6 linked regions of the Oryzias latipes genome follow. The protein of the gene in region 6 interacts with the protein of the main gene of each other region in a pairwise test. Links are inferred from orthologs where the notes say so. Each region holds a gene or a part of one and is shown on either strand. Other genes may lie near its edges. The genes, in order: fosl2, myocd, hck, dpyd, rhoq and gopc.

What was found.
Region 1: the proteins of gopc (region 6) and fosl2 interact in a two-hybrid assay, tested with the Homo sapiens proteins (2 studies listed by BioGRID and IntAct). The two-hybrid records come from large-scale screens. The link is inferred for Oryzias latipes from reciprocal best matches to the Homo sapiens genes GOPC and FOSL2.
Region 2: the proteins of gopc (region 6) and myocd interact in binary tests that used the Homo sapiens proteins (3 or more experiments, as listed by UniProt). The two-hybrid records come from large-scale screens. The link is inferred for Oryzias latipes from reciprocal best matches to the Homo sapiens genes GOPC and MYOCD.
Region 3: the proteins of gopc (region 6) and hck interact in binary tests that used the Homo sapiens proteins (3 or more experiments, as listed by UniProt). The two-hybrid records come from large-scale screens. The link is inferred for Oryzias latipes from reciprocal best matches to the Homo sapiens genes GOPC and HCK.
Region 4: the proteins of gopc (region 6) and dpyd interact in a two-hybrid assay, tested with the Homo sapiens proteins (2 studies listed by BioGRID and IntAct). The link is inferred for Oryzias latipes from reciprocal best matches to the Homo sapiens genes GOPC and DPYD.
Region 5: the proteins of gopc (region 6) and rhoq interact in a two-hybrid assay, tested with the Homo sapiens proteins (2 studies listed by BioGRID). The link is inferred for Oryzias latipes from reciprocal best matches to the Homo sapiens genes GOPC and RHOQ.

The regions. Positions count from the first base shown.
Region 1 is NC_019880.2:25,929,628-25,933,213, forward strand, and holds the end of fosl2 (fos-related antigen 2), read right to left. Parts: intron 2,883-3,586; coding exon 2,343-2,882; 3' UTR 501-2,342; downstream 1-500.
Region 2 is NC_019877.2:20,228,182-20,232,325, forward strand, and holds the start of myocd (myocardin), read right to left. Parts: upstream 2,801-4,144; 5' UTR 2,443-2,800; coding exon 2,388-2,442; intron 1-2,387. UniProt on the Homo sapiens protein: Smooth muscle cells (SM) and cardiac muscle cells-specific transcriptional factor which uses the canonical single or multiple CArG boxes DNA sequence. Acts as a cofactor of serum response factor (SRF) with the potential to modulate SRF-target genes.
Region 3 is NC_019865.2:5,151,761-5,154,557, reverse strand, and holds the end of hck (tyrosine-protein kinase HCK), read left to right. Parts: intron 1-50; coding exon 51-253; 3' UTR 254-2,297; downstream 2,298-2,797. UniProt on the Homo sapiens protein: Non-receptor tyrosine-protein kinase found in hematopoietic cells that transmits signals from cell surface receptors and plays an important role in the regulation of innate immune responses, including neutrophil, monocyte, macrophage and mast cell functions, phagocytosis, cell survival and proliferation, cell adhesion and migration.
Region 4 is NC_019875.2:21,094,915-21,099,081, forward strand, and holds the start of dpyd (dihydropyrimidine dehydrogenase [NADP(+)]), read right to left. Parts: upstream 2,801-4,167; 5' UTR 2,627-2,800; coding exon 2,597-2,626; intron 1-2,596.
Region 5 is NC_019873.2:6,511,490-6,514,989, reverse strand, and holds part of rhoq (rho-related GTP-binding protein RhoQ), read right to left. Parts: intron 1,322-3,500; coding exon 1,157-1,321; intron 1-1,156. UniProt on the Homo sapiens protein: Plasma membrane-associated small GTPase which cycles between an active GTP-bound and an inactive GDP-bound state. In active state binds to a variety of effector proteins to regulate cellular responses. Involved in epithelial cell polarization processes.
Region 6 is NC_019882.2:11,944,021-11,947,091, reverse strand, and holds part of gopc (Golgi-associated PDZ and coiled-coil motif-containing protein), read right to left. Parts: intron 2,420-3,071; coding exon 2,396-2,419; intron 1,260-2,395; coding exon 1,084-1,259; intron 958-1,083; coding exon 792-957; intron 716-791; coding exon 620-715; intron 337-619; coding exon 172-336; intron 95-171; coding exon 1-94.

The sequences.
Region 1 (3,586 bases), on a different chromosome or scaffold from region 6:
AGCTGCATTGCCCAGAGAAAACCCACACGTGCACGCTGAGAGCAAGCAAACTCCACACAAAAAAAGGACCTACCTGGGATTTGAACCAGGACATCTTCACTGTGATGCAGAAGTGCTGACCACTACACCATTCTGCTGCCCTACCTTAGGCATTTACGCAGCTGAACCATCACATAGCAAAGCCTCCTGTCCATGAAAAAACTCCTCGTGTTAAAAACACTATAATGGACGACCTTCTAGCTGTCATTGATTCCCATCATCGACTCAGAAAGGCCTTTGATTGTCATTTTTTACAAATATTTTTACTTTTATTTGTGATTCTCTCCTGTGCAGCCTTTGAATTTATGCATTTACTACCTAAACCTATTTTCTATGATTCATCTAAATCAAAGTCAAGACAGCCGTTGAATATTTCTCTGAGTAAATCATCCAGATGAACTAGGAGGACGTGATTCCACCCGATGCCAGAACCACAAACCAACAAATAAGAAAAGAAACAATTCCAAGTTGAAAATTATTTTATTATCATTTATCTTTTAAATTAACAAACACTGCTTTACATATTGCTGTTTTTACTCATTTTGAATTATTTGAAACAGTTAAAGCATTTGAAAAAAAAAAATTAACAGTAGAACAGACAACAGGTGACATGTAGAGCAGAAGATCTACAGTCCATGGCTTTCCTATGTGTGTTGAAGGGCTCCATAGAATTCCAGCATGCAGACAGAGTGCTGCGTTGGGGCCGTCCTGCAGGCTGGGGGGCCCCGATAACAGCTAGTCACATTACACCCCAATAGAAACACCCAGCATGTGTGTGTCTGTGTTTCTCCCAAACAAGTAGCAGCTTGTGTTGAATTGCAAAAGAAATGCAGTTTCTGCATCCAGCGCAACTTTCTTCCCCGCTGATCACAGAAAGGGTTCAAGCAAACCTGACGGTAGATTCATTGAAATGTCTCAAGTAAACAAAAGGACAAGATTCAAATTTCACCGGTCTGCCCTTCGTAGTGCGTGGCGTTTAAACCTCTTTGAAAAGGTTGTTGGCTTCCACTCCTTGATGCAGTTTATGGTCTTCATCCTCTCTTGTGTTGGGTTCTGATCCAGCTGAGCTTTGTGTCGATGGCTGGACCCCCAAATCAGAACATCTAAAGGAGATTTTCCCACTCTTTTCTAAAAAAAAACAGACTGAAATACAAACACTGCAGAAGAGGGTTGACATCATTGGCGAGTGGCGACAGTCTGGACCACAGAGGCTTCTCCTGATTTGAGCAAAATCCTCCTTTTAGACACAGACACACAAATCACAGGATTTACAAGAATCTTATTTTTGGCTTCTTGAGACCTGCCTGGCCCCCAAGATGGAGCGCTGAACCAGAGTGAGATGTTTGGAAAACAAAGATGTTTTGCGCAGAAGGAAGGTTTTGTTCAAACGTACAGAACTGTCCGAGGTGGCGGCGGCGGCTGCTGCTGCTCGCCGCACCGCCTCTGGAACAGCCAGAAACTCTGCCGCGCTCTTCAAGACACACCAAACACCGTCCCTGACATCAATGTAAATCACGTACACTTTGTCAAAAAACAGGTCGTAAAGTTCAGATACAGAATCGCTGAGGAAAAGCACACAATACTACTGGAAAGTCAAGCCACTAAGGCGGAACAGGAAGTGCTGAAGGGTTTCTTTCCCCAACACTGAGGAGGGCTCGGCTCAAACTGCTTTTCTACAGGCGGATTGAAGAAGAGAACAACAAAACAGTTTTGAAACTCCATTAGCACAGGCCATAAATACACTGAAAGTCATGGAGAAAACAGCAGAAAAGTCTACACACTCTCAGAGCCTATAGTCTCAATATCGACAGGAAAAGACAAATCTCAATGAAAAAACAGCCAAGACGACGTCTTTGTTTCTCCATAAAACTCCAGCAAAAATGCCGGCCTCGCTTAGTGATTTATTCATTTATTCGTTTTGGCAGAGTGCAAGTGTCAACAACATGGCTTTTAGGATAAAGTCAATAAAAATCTAGGAAAGAGTTGTTCTGTGGTCCCGTCAGTCATGATTGCCGCGTACGTTCAGGCAGGTTTCTTCAGAATCGTCTGTAAACATGATGACCCCTGGAGTTGAAATGGTGACAGGATGATGCTTTAGGGTTGTTGCACACCTTGGGTGGGGGGGTTGTGGCGTGGTACTTATTGCCCCCCCCCTCCTTCAAACCCGGAGGGGAGACGGCTCACGCAGTCGACTTGGTCCAGACTTTTGAATGTGCTTCAAAAACACAGGAGGGGGGTAAAGGGGCAGTTGACCCTGGGGTTTGACCACAGTGTTACTTCCTGGCGTCGGCTGCCTCCTCCACTCAGAGGGCCAGGAGGGTGGGGGAGTTGAGGGAGTCGGAGGACTGATCCCCGCCGCTGCTGCTGCTCCGCCGGTGGGCCTTGGAGCAGGACTCGGAGGAGGGTGAGGGGCTCTCCGGCTCCAACATGTTGGGGTAGGTAAATATGAGGTTGGGGGCATTAGGTGTCGTGGCTGGGGTGGAGGCCACCACCACAGGCGTGTTCAGGCTGTCTCCGTCTGGACAGTACAAGCCGCCGCCACTGATGCAGATGGGCTTGATGACGGAGCGCTGCGGTTTGTTCAAACCTTCGTCTGCGTCGTCCGGCTCCTGCTTCACCACCACTTGGCTCATCTGAGCCCTGGAGCCCACGCCGGGGCGCATGGACAGCGGGAGCAGGTTGCACTGCTGCTGCTGCGCCGAGGGCTGGTGGCGCTCGGAGAGGGGCAGCTTGCACACAGGGTTGTGAGCGACGAGCATGAACTCCAGCTTGTCTTTCTCCTTCTGCAGGTTCTCGATCTCCTTCTGCAGGTCGGCCTTCTCCTCCTCCAGCTTCTCAGTCTCCTGAGGAAAGAGGAAACAGAAGTTGAGCTTTGAACGCTGTCAGCGGTGTTGACGTTTCTCTAAAGCCCCAGAAGAGGGCAGTGTTTACCTCTTCATGCAAAATCAACAAACCCAAACAAGGCTTCTAAACATTATCAAAGACATAAAATCTCAAGCATGATTTGAGCATTCAGCCATGGCTGTGATTGTGATTCATGTCTTAGAATAAAACAGATGTAGATAAAGGAGGCAGACCCTAAAAGTGCTGCTTTCATGCTCTCAGAGAACTTTGGCTGGTGTGCAAAGGTATGAGGAAGTTGTTAACAAGGAACTGAAGAAAGGTGGGGTGAAGCGAAGCTCTTCAGTGCTTTAAGGCAACACACACTGCAAACATTTAGACCGTTTTTCACTCTGAGTGAAAAAGGAACTTTAAGTTTCTGTGGAAGTGTTGCACGGGCTGCGGGGTCGAGCCGGTCGCCTCTTTACAGAACGTCCTGCCTTCCCGAGCCGGGTCTAAATTCCACACAGGGCTCATTTTTATGGTCTGTTAAGCTCCACCTCACTGGGATTTTACTCCATTTAGATGTTGTAGCTGTCTGTGAGGCATGAGCAGCGGGACGCTTCTCCTTCTGTCTGCAGCAGAAACGGCTTTTCATCTGTCAGTGATGCTAACAGGAGGCTCGTACAGGAGTTTAGTTTTTTCTTTAGAAGGAAGGCAAGAACCA
Region 2 (4,144 bases), on a different chromosome or scaffold from region 6:
TACAAGAGCTCAGATTTACAGCGTGTGTGAGGTACGGCCTCACGCCACCGCCGTGAACACAAACCAGGGAGGGGATGCTCTGAAGGAGCGCTGCCTCCCCTTTTACCCTTTGAAACCAGGAAAAAGTTTGGAGACAGCTGAGAATTCTCCCTCTTTTTTCTGTTTTGAAAGGGCTTCCTCTCTGTCCTGTCCTGGGTTGGTTGCATCGTCGTTGTGTGTTTTCTTGCGCTGGTCGGTGAACAGGATCTCCAAGAACCTTCTAAAGCTGCTTGGTCGTTGGTTCTCAGTGCATTTTAAAAACGCCTTCAGAAAATGTGTCACAAATGTGATTAATTTTCTTAAAACAAGCAAAATTTCCAATAGGTTGAAAAATGCTCTTAACCAGAACTCTTATCCCAAGAAAAAAGTTTTTCTCACGTTTTCTCAAACTCAGATTATTCTGCTACTGAAAAACTTTCTGGATAGAAGATTATTTTTCTTTTAAGACAAAATGAGATATTTTGTCTTAAAATCTTTTTTTATTATGTTCATAAGATTCAGTTTTTGCCATGCGGAGCTGCTCCTCCTGCTGCTTTAGCCTGCAGTGTAAATTGTTTGGTGCATTTTATAAAAGCCAGTAATGCAGCCTAAAGCGCTGACTGGACTTATGCCCTGGAAAAACGAAACATTCATACAGATTTGATAGTTTCTAAAGCTTAATTTTCATTTAACTCCTAATAAATAGTTGTTTTTCTTGTGTACTATTTGCAGATTGATTTGCTGTAGAATTCTTTGAAGATCATAAAAAGGATAATCAAATCCTTTTGCGACATCATTGAAATCTGTATTTTAGGTTGGTTTGGCGCCCTGCAGTGGACTGGTGACCTGTTTAAGGTGTAGCCCGCCTTCACCCAGCAGCTTGGTTGACTCCAACAACCCCGTCACCCTGAAAGGGATTAGTGGGCTCTGAAGATGGATGGATGGAGTTGGTTTGGTTAAAATCAGACAAATAAAGTTGTAGGTTTTATCTTTGCCAGGTAAAAATTCATCGTCAGTGTCACATTTTATACTACCTCCTCACGTTAAACATTTTCTGTAAAAAGCATGTGATTCTTACATAAAAATGAGAATTCACCTCCGAGTTGTGGCCGATGGCCCAGAGCAACCCCGCTCCCACTTCCCCTCCCCGTTACTGAGAGCTCTCTGTTTACAAGCTCTCCCGCTATCTTACAGCCCCTCACAACCCCAACCTAACATTACCATGGCAACAAAAATGGCCTCAAATATCGGAGCCATTCAGCCTCACAGTTTAGATCCAGACACCAGCTCTGACGAGGAAAACAAAGACAGAAATGGATCTATTTGTCTGGAAGTGGATGCATCAGAATGGAGAGGAGCGGGAAGTTTCTGGCCCCATCTGCATTTTCTACTAAAAAAATATGATAATTTTACAGCTGACTTTTTTTTGGTCTGCTCCTTAATTATGACAATTTGACTAAAGAAATAGTCAGAAATGCAGTTTTAAGATTAATTTCCTTTATATATATATGTCCTCCATTATCAAAAAAAAAAAAAAAGCCACAAGCTTTCACCAGAGTGGGTCTTTAAGACTCCGTCATGGAGTTTGAGCTCAGCGCAGCAGAAGACGGAGGAGCTCCTGAAGGAGAAGTTTATCTTTATCCTCTCCTGGGGCGGAGGCGAGAAGGCGCCTTTTGTCGGGGGAGCTCCAGCTTTAAGAGGACTGTCCCACACCCTCCCTGTCTGTCATCAGCAGTAATCGCGGGGGACCTCACTTCTCTGACACCCCCTCGTGGCTTCACCCATGCTCTCATGAATCAGCTCGCTGGTTGTTATCGGCCGTGTGACTGAAACATCAGGCTGCACACTGCATCTGTGGCGCGTTAGGGGTGCCCGGGTTACAGCAACACAGTCTGGTAGCCACCGTCTCATGCCCCCCCCCAGCACAGATGCCGCTTTCCGGTCGTTCCGAGCAGCTCAGAGGAAAAGCGTCATTTGCCTCTCCATCTCTGTAATTACCACGCTCGCAGCCATGCTGCTTCTCCTGCCTCCTTCCTTCAGGGAGGGGGCAGTGTTGGTCAGACTGCAGCGCCGACAGGCTGGAGCAGGGAAAAGGGACGGAAAAAGACTTCTTTGAAGCGCAGGACACATGCATGCCCTCCATTATCCACATTCAGATGACCTCTGACCTCCACATGGCTGTTTAATTCCAACCCCCCTCCCCACAGCAAGGACGCCGGTTGTGGAGAACAAGTGCAGCAACCTGTGACAACATCCCAGATCTAAATCCATTACAGCTGAAGTCACCCCCCCCCCCCCCCCCCCTGCACCTGCCACTCTCACTGCCAGCCCCCCCCCACAAAGACAGCAGAAACAGGAAGATTCCCCACCTGATCTGAACTTTCTTCGTATGAGGATGGAGTGCTCAGAGCCCAGCAGAGTCATAATGTTCACAGTACAGTTCCAGCGCTTGCAGGTCGCAAAAAGCAGCCCCCTTGACGTTGACCCTGGCGACCTCCGCTGCTGCCCAGACGAAGAAGAAGAGGCCCGCTCTGCCTCATGGAGGAAAAGAGCTGTGGAGAGCCGCTTTCTGCCTCCTCTCCTCTCTGTGAGTCTGTGGGCCGATGAGGCTTTGGTCCCATCCAGCTGAGAGCTCTGAGCACGCCAGGGACAACACACAGATATGCCCCGCTCAGGGAGGGGCCAACCAGCCAGGGTTCCCTCCAAGCCCCTCCCACGAGGCCCGAGGCGCAGCAGGGTTCGGCTGATGACTCCTTCCTCCCGCGCCACCAGAGTAAATATATCTGCCTATCAGCCCAGCTGACTGTCATTAGGGGGGGCAAGGGGATTACTGTAGATGACGAGAAAAAGATCAAGATAGAGACTTGCAGTCTGATAGGGGAGCACAGCAACTGTGTGTGTGTGTGTGTGTGTGTGTGGGGGGGGGGGGGTACAGAGAAGAGGGCGGGAAGCTTCTGGCTTGCATACTGACAATAACATTAAAAAAAGTTAGGAACCCCCCTTTTTTTCTTTCTTTTCATAGCTTTTTCTCTCATTGGTCCCCATTTTCAGTCACTTCTCCGGCTCCAAAAAACAATTTAGAAGTCTTCAGCAAATTTGAAATAAAAAAAACTTTGGTTCTTTTCAGGAAACAACAAAAAGGTCAAATGAAGATTTTCATTCCCAAGGGTTGGAGCTTCTTCCATGCTCTCCATTAGGCTGGATCTTCCCTGCACTCACTTTTTAACCCTTTAACACCTGAGCTTTAGCTCCAGCGTTACATTCTTTGGCCTGCCGTTGCATATTAAAGATAAAGTGTTTTATATCGAACATGAGGTGTTAAATATTGAACTTTAAAGAACCCCTCCAATGAAAATAGTGTTTTTACGTGTTTTTAACATGCCTTTGTAGCATTTTTCTTGCCAATGGAGGACACATCTAAAGAAAATGAAGATTAAAACTGTGTTTCTGAGTTTTTCCTTATTCAAATAATGATAAATCAAATGAAAAAATGCTGTTTCGAAAAGCTTGAAGTTTTGCCACAAGCTCCCTGCTCAGTTCTATTCTGATGCATCCACTTATAGACTAATAGATTCATGAATGTCTTTGTTTTCCTCGCCTGAGCTGGAATCTGGATCACAACTGCACGGCTGGATACCTCTGATAATGCTCGCCATTTTTGTTGCACCGCCAATGTTAGCAGGGTTGTAAGGGGCTGTAAGATAGCAGGAGAGAATGTAAACAGAGAGCTGATTGGAAATGAGCGCTGGCTTATTCCACGCCATCAATCCCACCCACATTAAGAGGTGAATTTCTAAAGGACCCCTGCTGCTCTGCAGAAACTATGTCCCAGAAACAACAGGTTTTTTTTTGGATTTTCTTGGGTCAAAAAGAACATAATTATCATGAAAAGACCACTGGGAACGCTTTGAGAACAGATCAAAAGATGATCAGAGTGGGACTTTAGAGGTTGCATATGGAACGTTAAGTGTTGCGTGTCAAATATAAGCTGAGCCCCAATCCGCTGATTCACAGTGATCGCGTATATAGTTGAAGCGTTACGGCACGTCAGATGGCGTGTGTTCTTTGGTCACCGATGACACCTAACTGAACTTTGACCTCCAATTTCTCCAGTTCCATAAAACAA
Region 3 (2,797 bases), on a different chromosome or scaffold from region 6:
AAGCCCAGAAGATGGTGAGAAAATTCAGCTATGTTTCTGCTGATCTCCAGGGATGACCAACCCAGAAGTGATCCGCTCCCTGGAGAAAGGCTACCGAATGCAGCGCTTGGAGAGCTGTCCTACCGAACTCTATGACATAATGTTGGATTGCTGGAAGAATAAAGCAGAGGAGCGCCCCACCTTTGACTACCTGCAGAGCATTCTGGAAGATTTCTTCACAGCCACTGAGAGCCAGTATCAGCAGCAGCCTTGAGTCGCATTACATTTGTTTCTTATGTGTTCTGTACGTATTACATACCCACTGAGCCTTTTCATTTATCCTTCTTTGTCTTTTCATACTCAAAAAAAAGAGTCTTATTACAACGTAGCTCAGTCATTTTCCATACATCCACGAATAAGCGATAACTAAAAAGTTCATGCTTTTAGACTTAAAATAAGTTAATTTTATCATCAAAACTATTTTTCTTTTTTTGTGTGTGGGGGGGGGGGTAAACCACTTGTCTGAAAAAAGTTAGATCATCAGCGAAGAAATCAACTTTTATTTGGCGTTGTAGAGCTGTTACAGGCGAATACGATTTGCACGGCCAGTTTCAATGTTAAGTCATTGTACAGACGCCGTCAGAGGTCCTGCGTTGCATTTGGAGTGTTGGTTGCAGCGGTCTGGTGGCAGCACGTTGCAGCAAAAATTCTGACGTGCGATATTTCCAGAGTTCAAACATCAAAACTTTCGCAAAGAATATGTGTCACATAAACCAATCAGAAACTTAGCTTTGACCCGTGACGCATTGATGGCGTGATCAGGGGGGTGTAGTCCAGAAGTGATCAATGTAGATTTTTTGGTCAGTGGAGATCATTACCTCTTCCTGTAAGGTTTGGAAATCCCTCCTCCACTTCCTTTTTTACCCCAGTTAAATCAGGCTTTGAAAAACCCTGTTTTTCCGACCGCTTTTAGCAATTTGGGTTGTTTGATATTTTCCGAAGCAGCTTAATGTAAATATGTTATCTTGAAAGAATTTTATAACGCCTTTTTTCAAATAATTGGGAATGGGCTTATAATTCCTGTCATTTATTCCAATGCATCGGCTTTAAAAAAAAACAACAGCTCACTTTTTTAGCTGCAGGCTACTTTGCATATTTAAACCTCGTGCACCTCTATTTCAACAGAAAAAGCATTGTCTTGCTATATCATCTACTTTTTGGAGGCTTGTTTAACATCAGTTTTTCACTTATAATAGATTTATTTGTCCTATTACAGTTTAGTTCAATTTCACCAATAACAGGAACGCATCGTTGGATCATAAAATGTCTGCATAGCAACCGTGCAAAGCTCGGATCCGTCTAGACGCATAATAAATCAAACTGTAGCGTCGTCTGTTAGAAGAAAACTGCATTATACAAACAGCATTTTGGTTTTCAAAAGTGGCTCTCTTAGTGTAAAAGATGTATTTTATAATGTAATAAACAAAATGAGTGTTGCAAGTCAGAAACTCATTTTTCTTGTCCCATCTGAAATGCCCTTAAAATTCCAACACTGCAAAGTAAAAACTGCTTTTTCAAACATAGAATAGTTTGAAGGCTCATATCATATGGATAGAAAGTCTTCTTTCTTTACAGGAAGGCTGTTTTTTTCTGTCTGCAAACCTTTTTATTTTATATATCAAACTGAGCTTATTTCCTCACAGTGCCTTCTTAATACAGTAGCCATAAAACCCTGTGTATGATCTGTTCACAAAGTCTTGCGGAAGTTTAGTGTTTTTCAATAAAACAATATATTTTTATTGCTGTGTAACTTATTTTTAAAAGATGCATAAATGTAACAAGTTGGAGAGGTACCGTACATATTTCAATGATATGGTGACTGGAGCAGCATTTTATTCCCAAGAGCTTTTTATATCTTTGTGTTAAAGGGTGCATGTGAATGACTAGTGATGGCTGCTTTTTCCTTTGCTGCAGCATCTGTGTCTTTCTCATATGTTGTTTGAATATTCATAATGGTTTTTGCACATTTAAACTATGTTTGGTGACAGAAAATCAGAGAAATTTAAAGGGAAGCTATGAGCCTGCAATAGAAATGATTTTGTGCTGGCATAAATTGACCCACTATTTATCAAAATCTGTGAAGCAAAGATCTAAGACGTTTGTGCTTTTCCTAAATTATTATGATTGAAAGAATTTGCAAAGTTCTGTATATAATCATAGGAATATGTTTATTTTTTTGTTCATTCTCTCTACCAATATGAATCTTTTTGCAGCATCTGCACCTGAAATGTTAAAATAAATAGTTTTTAAAAAGCAAATGTGTTATTAGTTTGTTTTCATTTATTGTTAGAATTGTGTTCATTCTTTTTTTTTTTTTTTTTTTTTTTTTTTTTTTTTTTTTTTTTTTTTTTTTTTTTTTTTTTTTTTTTTTTTTTTTAAAAAAAAAAAAAAAAAAAAAAAAAAAGAATTGTGTTCATTCTTAAAAGATCGTAATGAAGCTATTGGGAAGAGTAGTGGAAAGTTAGCTGAGGTTAGAAGGGAACATTTGGGGTATGGTGAGCAACAGTTTGCAAAGAAGAAGAACCAAAGATGCAAAATTTGCTTTGACCCTTGTGCTATTCTAGGCACTTTGACGTTGGGAGTTGGGTCATCTAGACCCACTAGACAGTGCGCTGAACCTTTTTTCTTCAATGATCTGTGATCTTCACTGGTGTCCATGGATTACATGAAATCCTCTTCACCTTTATCCACCTTTGTCATGGTAGGGAGAACAGGTCAATGGAAGGGTGGGGTCATCTAAGATAGCACAAGGGTTAAG
Region 4 (4,167 bases), on a different chromosome or scaffold from region 6:
GAAAAGAAAAACAGCATGATCCAATAAAAGCAAAATACTCTAAATGGAAATAGTAATTATTCTTTAAATAACTTACAGGGAAAGACTTATACAAGTGGCCAGAATGTACCATCAAGTGCAACTCAATGGTTATTTTAACCTGTCATTCAGATTAAAGGTGATTGATTTTGTATTTATTCCCCAGGATTTCAACGCTACTTTTGTTTAACGCAAGAAAATATTCTTAACAATATCTTTTCCAAAATTTGACAGAGCAAAAAATATAACAAAACTAAAAATGTAACTTCAGCCCTTCTTGGCTTCTGCATGTGGTTTTGAAACAGACTCCAATTTTTCTTTGCAGAAATGTAACAAGAAAGAAAAAAATGAACTCCACAATAGTAAATTCCCTTTCATCACTCATAAACAATGCTTCACTTTAGTAGAGTCCAACCCCTGTTGGTCATACAGGGAAATTAATATTTTAATAATAGTACTTTTTTGTATTTATTTGCCCTACATCAGCTAAGATGATTACTTTTAGTAAAACATTGCCAAAAACTAACTATGCTGGTAAAACCAAAGTAGAAGCAAGTTACTTACAGGTTATACAGAAAAACCTTTTTCCAGCTGTTTTCTTCAATATGATCTAAACATCCTAAACCCCCAACCAAATTTTTGAGATGTTATTGTCAAATGCTGTAATAGGAATAGGAGAAATTTGCTGTTCAGACTTTTGAACATTCCTGGAAATCTGGCATTTTGAATGATTGGTTTCAAAGTGATACGATAACAGCAAGATGATAATCTTAGGCTTACTGACATTTTACACATGACAGCTAAAACATTAAAATTAAATGTCACGAAGGCGAGTCCTTAATACAAAATTATTTATCCAATTAGATCAAGAGTATTTAAAACAAAACAGCATGTTAGAGCAGAGTCGTGGTAACTCTGGCCTGTATAAAATGTAAACCTTACATAAAATGTGTCTAATTTCTGGTCAATTTACTAATTTATTTGAGATGAGACAGTCTTATAATAGACTTAAGGGACGAAAGACTTAAGGGACGAAATGACAAAGGTTGCTGTGTCTCATATCCAGTTTGGATAGACTTTGATAAGCATGATGCTTCAGCTCTGTCCCTTTTGGTCAATGTTGGTTACTGTTTAAAAGTAGTTTAAAAATGTAACGCTTGAAGAACTTCCAAGCTTCAAACTTCACTCACAAATGTGATTCTGACAAAAATCCTGATAGATTATACAGATTTAGATTTTTTTCTAATGCTGTTCTCAATACAGAAAATAAGTCATTTGTAATTTTTTTTGTAAATAATTGTTTTCTGCCCCTAGTCTGGATAATGTACACTTTGCCACATGAGTTTTTCAACCCCCATTCTGTTGCTAAACATTTACTACATGCTCAGAATCTCTTGCAAAGGGAGACTCCCCCTTTCCACGAGAACACCGTGTCCCCCCCTTTCAGCCACGTGCCACTGATCCTCATCGAGTGCATAATGCACATGTCTGGTTGAGTAATGCTTTAAACATTTTGAATTCAACTAATTTCACCCATGAGCAAAGTTAAGGCTTTTAAACTGTGATAACTGGCCACTTAAAGAGAAAAAATTGTAAAAAAAAAGCAAAGGTCCAATGTCTGGATTTTCTTTTACCCAAGTGTATGACTTTACTTTAGAATCTGGTGATGCTTATAATGAAAAATGTCACAGCTGAAGCCTGGCAAAGGTGGAAAGTCTATTCTGAGTTCTGCTGCATTTAATATTTTTTTATTCCAAATTCTCACTTCCAGGACTCTGCAGGGACATTGCTTATGTCCTTTGGGCCTCAGTTTGGGTTTTTCACTTGCACGGCTTAAAAGATTTCACAAATTCAATTTTGTCATTTTCCAGAAGTTTTTACATCTCTGTAGAATGCATATTCATGTAAACTTTTTCAGATGTTTTTATTTTTATATTCCTTTTTGCATTAATGCAACGGTTGCAATTTTCCTGCAAAATTGTGCAAGATGGACTTCCTTCCTGCTGCCCTGTTAAAGTTTTTGCAGCCATTAAATCTGCTTCAATGAAAAGGAAATGTTTCCATCTAGCTTGTAGATCACAGCTTCATTTTTCTTTATTTGGAGCATTCACTTAATTATTAATTAATCAAATAAAAAATTAAAAAATCAAGAATTAATCAAAATTTTAAAAAGGTGACAACTCTGAACCTCTACTCCGGAAAGTGTGCCTCCATTCTCAAGGTTATATTTTAAAACTATTAAATGCATGGCGTTTTTACTCTGTAATGGCTTTAAACTTCCTAAAAACACTTGGTTTTCCAGAACATAATTGTGAAATGACTTAAAAAAGGCAAATTTCACAATCTGTTTTTCTGAAAAAAGCCATACAACTAAATTGACCTCATAGTATTTTAGTGGATGTGATTGGAAAAGTAAATTAAGACAAAAGTCTAAATCTCTGTGTCTTTAAATGATTCTGGTTTTGATTTTCCATCCAAATCAACCAGTAAATATAAACAGAACATTTTAAGCTTTTAAGTTGTTTGATCAGAATACTAGAGTGAGACTCCGGTAGCTTCTTTAGCAAGCACAATTTACCTCAATGTCTGGAAGATCTTTACTCAGCATGTTTCTGCCTCGATCAGCAACAAAAAGGTTTTTTTTTATATAGTGAAGGAGATCCCAGCAGGTTTTTCTGGATTAGATGCGTCCGAAGCACTGTCCGGGACAGCTCTGATCCCAGGAGCTCCAAAAAGTGACTGTCTCAGTTGCTTGCCCTCTTCCCTCTCTTGCAGGAAAGGTCAGACAACGTCACCAACTTTGCTTCCTTCCAAATGCCCGCTGGCTGATAGGTGGACAGTGGGCATGTTTCCAAGTAGGCTGGACTTGACCTTTGATATGGGAAAGAGTTAACATTGTAATCTTTTGAGTTCAAAATCCACCTCTGATAGGGGGTTGAGGCCTCTTGGCATTTTTTTCACCGTGTACAGGATTGTTAATCATTTTCTGCCTCAAGTGAACTTGTTTTCTGGTTGTATAGGCTTAAACATTCTGATAATAACTTAGTGTATTACTTTATGATTTAAGCAATGCATGACCCATTTGTAAAGGCAGACATTTCAGAACTGAACCTACAATGAAGAGGACGGGAGCACGATTCTGCCAAATGTGTCCCTTCTGCCACTGCTGCGCTGAATAAGATGAGACTTGAGGCAACTCCCACGTGTTTATGCTGCTTTGTTATGTTGTGTAATTTATACTTTATGTGGGGCACACAAAAAAACAATGTCACAAATGGAACAACATACACTATCTGATGCTAAAAATGTAGACAAATATGAAACACCTTTCTCAGTCAAAGCCAATGTGATCTGTTAAAGTCAAAGCCATGTGTTCAGGTGCTTTCAGGTGTCAGTTTTTGGGTTGCTTGTACGTCAATCAATAATGCAGGACCCCCCCCCCCCCTCCTCAATTTGCAATTAAAGACAATGTTAGTGGAATTAATATCTGCATATAACTGAGGACACATAAGAGAATACACACAGGTAAAGAGGTAGAACTCAAGCACATTGGTTTCCCTTCTATTTTTATCAAGTGTGCTTCATAATTATTATAATAGACATATGTCTCGTCACCTCAAATCCATTGTTATAGTCACAGCCTAAAACCTGGACGTACTTTACTTTTAAGGTTTAGCCCATTTGTGGAACTGAATTGGTCCCTGTGCTTGATTTATGATTGACACTTTTGAGTCCCTTAAAAATTAGATAAGACTGAGCTGCTGTTTCAGTTGTTGGAAGAAGCATTTGGATGCATGTTTTGTGTACACAATGTCATTAGCAACTACAAATGTGTTTTAAAAAAAAGGTTATTTTTAATTGCCATGTTTACTTTTGTTTTACTATATTGGCATTAAGTGACTGTAATACCACAAATACGTCATCAAATGTTTCCAACAAATCTACCAAGTAGATAAAGTGCAAAACATCCAAAACCCTTCATTTTTAAGAATATTTTTGTGCATTTTGCGTGTTCAAAGTACGTTTTTCAGCTTCAAAAGCACAAAGATGTGCAGCTTGACATATCAAATCATTGTGAGGACTTGGCTTATCATTAGGCACACTCTTATGCTAGAGTATGGGTCTGGGGGAGTTGCTTAGCAACAAGGC
Region 5 (3,500 bases), on a different chromosome or scaffold from region 6:
CCTCTCACATACTCTAATCCAACACTATCGCTGCAACAAAATTGGCGAGCAATATTCGAGCTATCCAGCCGTACAAAAATAGTCAGAAATGTCATTTTAATCTTAATTGTTTTATACGTGTCCATTATCATCAGAAAAATGTCACACAAACACATTTAGAAACAAATTTGAGCAAAGCGAGTCTTTAAAATGGCCTATTCCATGCTATTCTTAAGCCTTTTATGGTAAACTACATCAAGATATATCTATCTATCTATCTATCTATATATATATATGTATATATATATATATATACATACATACATACATGTGATAATATATTACCTTTGGCACACAAAAGAATGAAGTTTTAATCAAATATCTGTTATTTTCCTGAGCTTTTTTCCAACCAGGAAGTAAAACGCCTCTTTCTCTGAGGCTCCGCCTTGCGCTCCTTGTGGGTCCGCCCATTTCACGACATCATCCTAGAGCCGGCCTCAGCAGCGTGTCAGCGTCCCACACAGCAAAACAAACAACATCCAAACTTAATTATCCGAAAGATGGATGAGCATACTGAACGTATAAAAGGAAAGAGTTTAGCCGATCATCGCTAGCTCTGTGCAGAATGGGGGCGTGTCTGTTAGCCTGGGGGGGGCGGTGCTGGCAGGACAGACTCTTCCTGGAAGGGGCGGTTCTTTATTTGTCTACATCAGCTCGTGTGAATCTGACTCGTATTCCTGGGTTGGGAGGGGCCGGTGCTCAGAGTGCAGGTTTTTAGAGAAATACTCAGAAATGCGTGTCCTGCAGTTATGCAAATGCAAAAAAACAAAACGGAGTGACAGCTTAGTTTGAGTCTAAACGTGAAGTCAGTCAGTGGGAAAACCCTTTTCTAATACAATACTTTAACACGCTTAACCAGGTTAGGGAAAAATAAGGTCCCTTTGTAGCAAAAAAATACATTTCTCAATGATAAGCATGGAAACCAAAAGAAAAAAAGGGAAAACTGTTTTTTACATTCATTTGGAAGCAAACTGCAAAAGTGCACTTAAGTAAAAAGTTCTCTCCCAAACTAGCAAAAGCTTCAATATTTATTTATCTTCCAAAAACTGATGAGGACAATTGAGAATTTACGGTAAAATGGATGTAAAATTTTTTTCCACGGGTGTTAAGAACTAACCTGAGTACCGATGAGCAGGTAAGGGACGCTGGGGGCATATTCCTGCAGCTCCGGCACCCACTCCTCACGCACGTTCTGGAAACTGGCCGGGTTGACCACGGAGAAGCAGATGAGGAAGACATCGGTCATCGGGTAAGACAGCGGCCTCAGCCGGTCGTAGTCCTCCTAAAAGAAACAAAGATGGTGAATCTCTGGAGTCAGAGGGCAGACCTGCTTCATTTCTGTTCCCTACCGACTAAAAGATGATTTCCTTTATCACAGCTCTGATATTGGGCAGAGACAACAAAAGATGATGGGTTTTGTCCCCCATTTTGGATTAATGGTTTCACCTTCTTAAAGGCTTAAAGGTGCAGCTGCAGAACATGACAACCACACACCGTTATGTCCGACTATTTTAGGGGTGAAAGCAAAAAAAACAAAACCACATTCACTAAAAAAACAGCAACCCTTTGCTTGTGATCCATCTCACATTTTCTTCCGGCTGGCATTCAGAAAGCAGCAGGGAGAAACGCAGAGTCGATGCCTCTCAGGTAATTAGAGATGACTCAGCCTCACACAAACATGAGACAAACTCAATCAGACAAGCAAACACTCGCACAGCAGCGGATTCATGTTAGGGAGTTTGTTTTTTCAAATATAACTTTTTTCTGTCTTCATCCTTCTCCATCCAGACGATTCCAAAGGTTTCACAGATCGTCTTCACAGCACAGCCTTGTGTACTGATGGAGAGTTTGGCATAGACACCATTTTCTAAACTTCCTGGTGTGATATAATTGGTCTGGATTCAGCCAATTAAAACGCTCTGGTTCAAAAACGAAGCATTCTGAAAAAAGAAATCTCTATATTAACCCTTTTGGAGCATTTTCTTTTAATTATTTTACAGTTTGCTCTAATACTTTACCATTAAAACTGTTTTTTTTGTGTGGCAATAATCCCAGCTTCTATATTTTACTAATAGTTTTCATTATATTACATAGGCCTGCACAATAAATCGCTAATATATCGTTATCTGGAGATCAAGCTGTGCAATATGCATATCATAAAACCGGTAACCTTAAATGAGCTAAAACAATCTTATGGCAGCTTGAAGTATTTAACGAATCAAATTAATCCATCTATGCATTTGACCACAAGGATGGAGCCCTTTGATGTTAGATGCTCGCCTCCTGTGTAGACGAGGGTCATTTGGAGGTAATTTAAGTTATGTTATCTTATTTAATTTAAACTGTTGTATGATATCGTCATCGCAATATAGATCACTCATATCAGGAAATGAGTCTTCCTGATGACGTGCAGCCCTAATAGTAAAAAATAATTCAAAAATCAACCAGAAACTCCCAAAAACTCAATTCGGGTTGTAGATTTCGTCTTTTTTTTTACTACAAAAGCCACAAAAAATGATATCAAACAGGTTTAATATTTTACAACAATGATCAAACATCCAGAGAGAAAATAAAAGTGAACGAATCCACAAAGTAAATACGAGGTAAAAAACAACAACACAGAAATGTCTAAATAAAAAGGGTTCCACTCAAAGGGTTTATTCCAAGCAGAATCACAAATGTGTCACAACTCTTGTTATGTTTGTATGAAACCAAAAAATTCAAAGCTAAAAAGTGTTGATGTTAGATTTTGAATGAAAACTATACTAAGGGCCGGTTCAGCTGATGTGATTGGCTAATGCACAGGTGAGTTCAGAGACTTCTGAGGGATAAGAAATGATCCGATATTTGGTTTCACATTTTCAGAATAGGACTAAATCTACAGAAACGCGTGAACCTCCTTGGATAGCCCAAACATTAACTACTGAGGAGGTTAAAGGTATTTTCCAAAAGAAGTTTTGTCTCCGCTTTCACTTCTTCAAGTCAGTGGTCTTTTTTGGGTTGTTTTTTTTTGCTGCCTCGACAAAACCTCCAACAAAGAGGCTGAACTGTAAGAAAGAAGGAGTGCGTCTGGTAAATCTGTTCCATCACACAATGTATGGAGGGGAGTCCAGCTGCTGCTTTAATTATGGTCTTCTTCAGGCTGTCAGCCTAAAAAATTAAAATAAAAAATACTCTACATCTAAGGTTAAAGAGGTAGTTTGGGGTAAAGAGAGATTTGAGGATAGACTTCTATTCAACCTTGTTAAAGTGGTTCATGTGTTCCTCAGGAGCCGGGTTTTGGTTTCACAGGTCTGGTTCAGTTTTAATTTTGTTTTTTTCCTTGCAGTTTAATCTGTTACTCACTCAGTACACTTCCTTCTGCTATCACATTTTTTTTTAGCTATGTTGGTAAATTTCGACATATTTTTGGTTTGCATCCAGTGTAAATTTGCTGAGAAATTTTTGCAGAATTTGTTGCA
Region 6 (3,071 bases):
ATCGATGTCCGCTGTCGTCCTCATACTCCACGTTCTCGTCATCGCTGTCCACCTCCGGCGCCACGTACACCACCTCAAACTCTATCTGGCCTCTCTAAAACACAATCGCCACAATGAGTAGGTCAGAGAGCGCTCCCTGTGGCCACAGCGGGGACTGCAGCCACACCTTACCTGCTGTGACAAGATGGTGACTGCCTCCTTGTGCTTCGCATCCCTTAAATTGATGCTGTTGACCGCGAGGATGGCATCTCCGACGTGCAGGCCTCTACAACGGTCTGCAGGTTGACCGGGATGGATCTCAGAAATCAGGATGGGAACGCCGTGCTCCTTCCCGCCCTAAAAGGAAATCCAAGTTAAAGGATCTAAAGCCAAAACAGGATCTAAGAAGTTTAACACATTTGTTCCATTACTATTGCAGAGGGTTACTTAAGACCAAAGTGACAAATTCACTTCCTGAAAAGTCTAAGAAAGAATCTAAAACATGGCTGGTAATTGGTGCTTCCTTAAGGTTACATTTCCCAGATACAAAGTGCCTGGTTCAAACCAATGCCTTCTATGGGTCTACTATGTGTCAGATAGTTGCTTTATTTTTCACAAAAGAGGTCAATCGTGTATTTACCGTGATAGAAATCCCCAAGCCTTCATGGTCCTCTTTGACCAGCGCCACCTTCCTGATAGGACCGACTCCCTGCGTTTTCTTCAGCAAGTCATGTTCCTGGAATTGCACCGATAGCTTTTAGCGAAACCATGAAAACATGAACGGCATTTAGATGTTTGAGATCTCCACTCACGTGTCCCACAGGAGAGGGTAGAGGTTTCTTTGGGTCGATGCGACCTCGGCATGCCCGGATTACAGTTTTGTGGCGGTGGAGGTGAATCTCGGCCTCCAGCTGGTTCCACAGCTTGTCATGGGCGGGTCCCTTCATGTCCCGACCGAGTAACTGAATCTGCTGCACCCTGAAAGTCACAGTGCCAGCCTCTTAGGGAAGACAACCCTTAGACAACCTAAGTCTCGTTTACTCAATGAAAAAGATTCATCACCAGGTCTTATCTTTAAACCCGCTGCTCCCTCCAGCTTCTCACCTTCCAGCCAGCTCCTTGTCCAGATATTTGGCAGCCAATCTGGCTCCGTACACCTCAGCTTGCAGTACTGCTATGTGCCTGCGGAGGGCCTCGTTTTCCTTCCTAAACAGATGCACTTCTTTCTCCAGTCTGGCCTCAGCTAACTTCTCCTTCTTACCAGCCATAAGTTCCTGTTCCTGGAAAAAAAAGCACAACTAATCACGTTTGAGCTTTTGCAAACTGGCGACACAACAAACTATAGGTTTTAGGACGATTATGCTCCAAATGATCAAAATGTTATATATCATGACATAGCTAGGTTTATATCCTGATTAAGATATCAGTAACATTGCAACGTGGAAAGGCAGTGTGACACGACTAACTGAACAATGGTCATAGAAACTAAATACTTCTTTCACTTAGAACCTTTTTCCAAGTGTTAATCATGTTAACATCTACTGCTAAACATATTTACTATTTAGCATAGGCCAATTCCTAGCTGTGCCTGAATGCAGCGTCTGGACTTTTGTGTGACTTCTGCAGTCACTAGACGCTGCTTTTATAGCTTTTGCTTGTTGATTCTCTCTGCATTCTTGGTTATGGTTCCTGTAGAGACGACAAACTCCATTAGTTGTGTGTTTGTTGTTAGGACCGGTCAACAGGTGTTTTGCCAAAAGAGAAAACCCCCCTGCACCCCGTCTGACAGCGTTCCTCACCAGGAAGTGCTTTCTTTTTGACACAACACCTTACAAACTTTACAAACAAATGCTGTCTGATCCACGTCGGTCTTCTTCTATACAAACTACATTCATGCGACGGAACAATTTTCTAGTCTGGAGCGCATTTGCTACTGACTTCCTCCATGTTTGTTTGGTGTGAGGCACATTTTGACGGAAAATAGTACCATAAAGTTCCTAATTCTGTTTTGAGCCGTAGAGCTTCATAAAAAAACAATAGATATTTTCTCTCATCTAGATATACAAGTTTCTTTAGGATTTAGACCAAATCATTGCACAAAACGAAATTTTTCATTAGGATTGTTTGCAGTTATTAGATTTGGCGTAACCATAAAGTGCCATCTCAGAAAACATTCTCATGGAAAAAGTCAACGTTGACACTGACTGATGAGCTCATATTTCCATTTCCAAGATGGTGACTGGCCAAGTAATGACTGTAGCCAGTGAGGGGAGGGGAGGGAGTGGCGTTTCCACCCAACAAGCCACTGAAGCAGAGTCGACAAAGCAGCAGGAAGTAAATATCAGCTCAATGAGGGAAGCAACAGATCCCATGGTGTCAAATCTACAGCTACACCAAAGCGGAGAGGAGAACTTACCATCACCTCCAGAGTTGGTGCAGGCTTTAAGGACAGAAGAGGAGAAAGGACAGACAGAAGAAAATGTGGGTTAGAGAAACTCATCTTTGATTGGTGTTAATGTGTGCACAGGAAAGGCAAAAATGACAAAGAATCAAAGTGCATATCAGGGCTTCAGGATGGTGCTGAAAGGGAGCAGAAAACTGTAGATGGAAACAGTAAAAGACCAAACCATCAGTTGCAACAGTAAACAAAGGAGTTAAAATAAACATTCTATTTGTTTAAATCCCATATATTCTAAATGAAAGAAATGGAAAAATGTATTCTTTAGCAGTGAGGAGAAATCTTTGGTATGGCTGCTGGAGGTCATTTCATGCGGTTTGGATGTATTTCTACCTTTTCTTATCTTCTTTAGTTTCGCTGAGTCTCTTCAGCGTCATCAGAGATCTGCAGATAAAAGTGAATTTTCCACCACTGTGGCCTGCTGAGCTTACAGTGAGTGGAGGATTCTCCCGCCCCATTGAAGCCTCTGAAACCCAGATCTGTGTCTGTCACTGTTTGTCCCAGTGGAGCATTCTTCTGGAGACATTTATGATGTAAGAAGCTCCATAAAAACTCCTCTTTCTGAGATTCATTGAGGACATTAGTGCAGAGCAGTGGAGCTAAAAGCACAATGCTGTTTTAGTTTTGTAGTCGC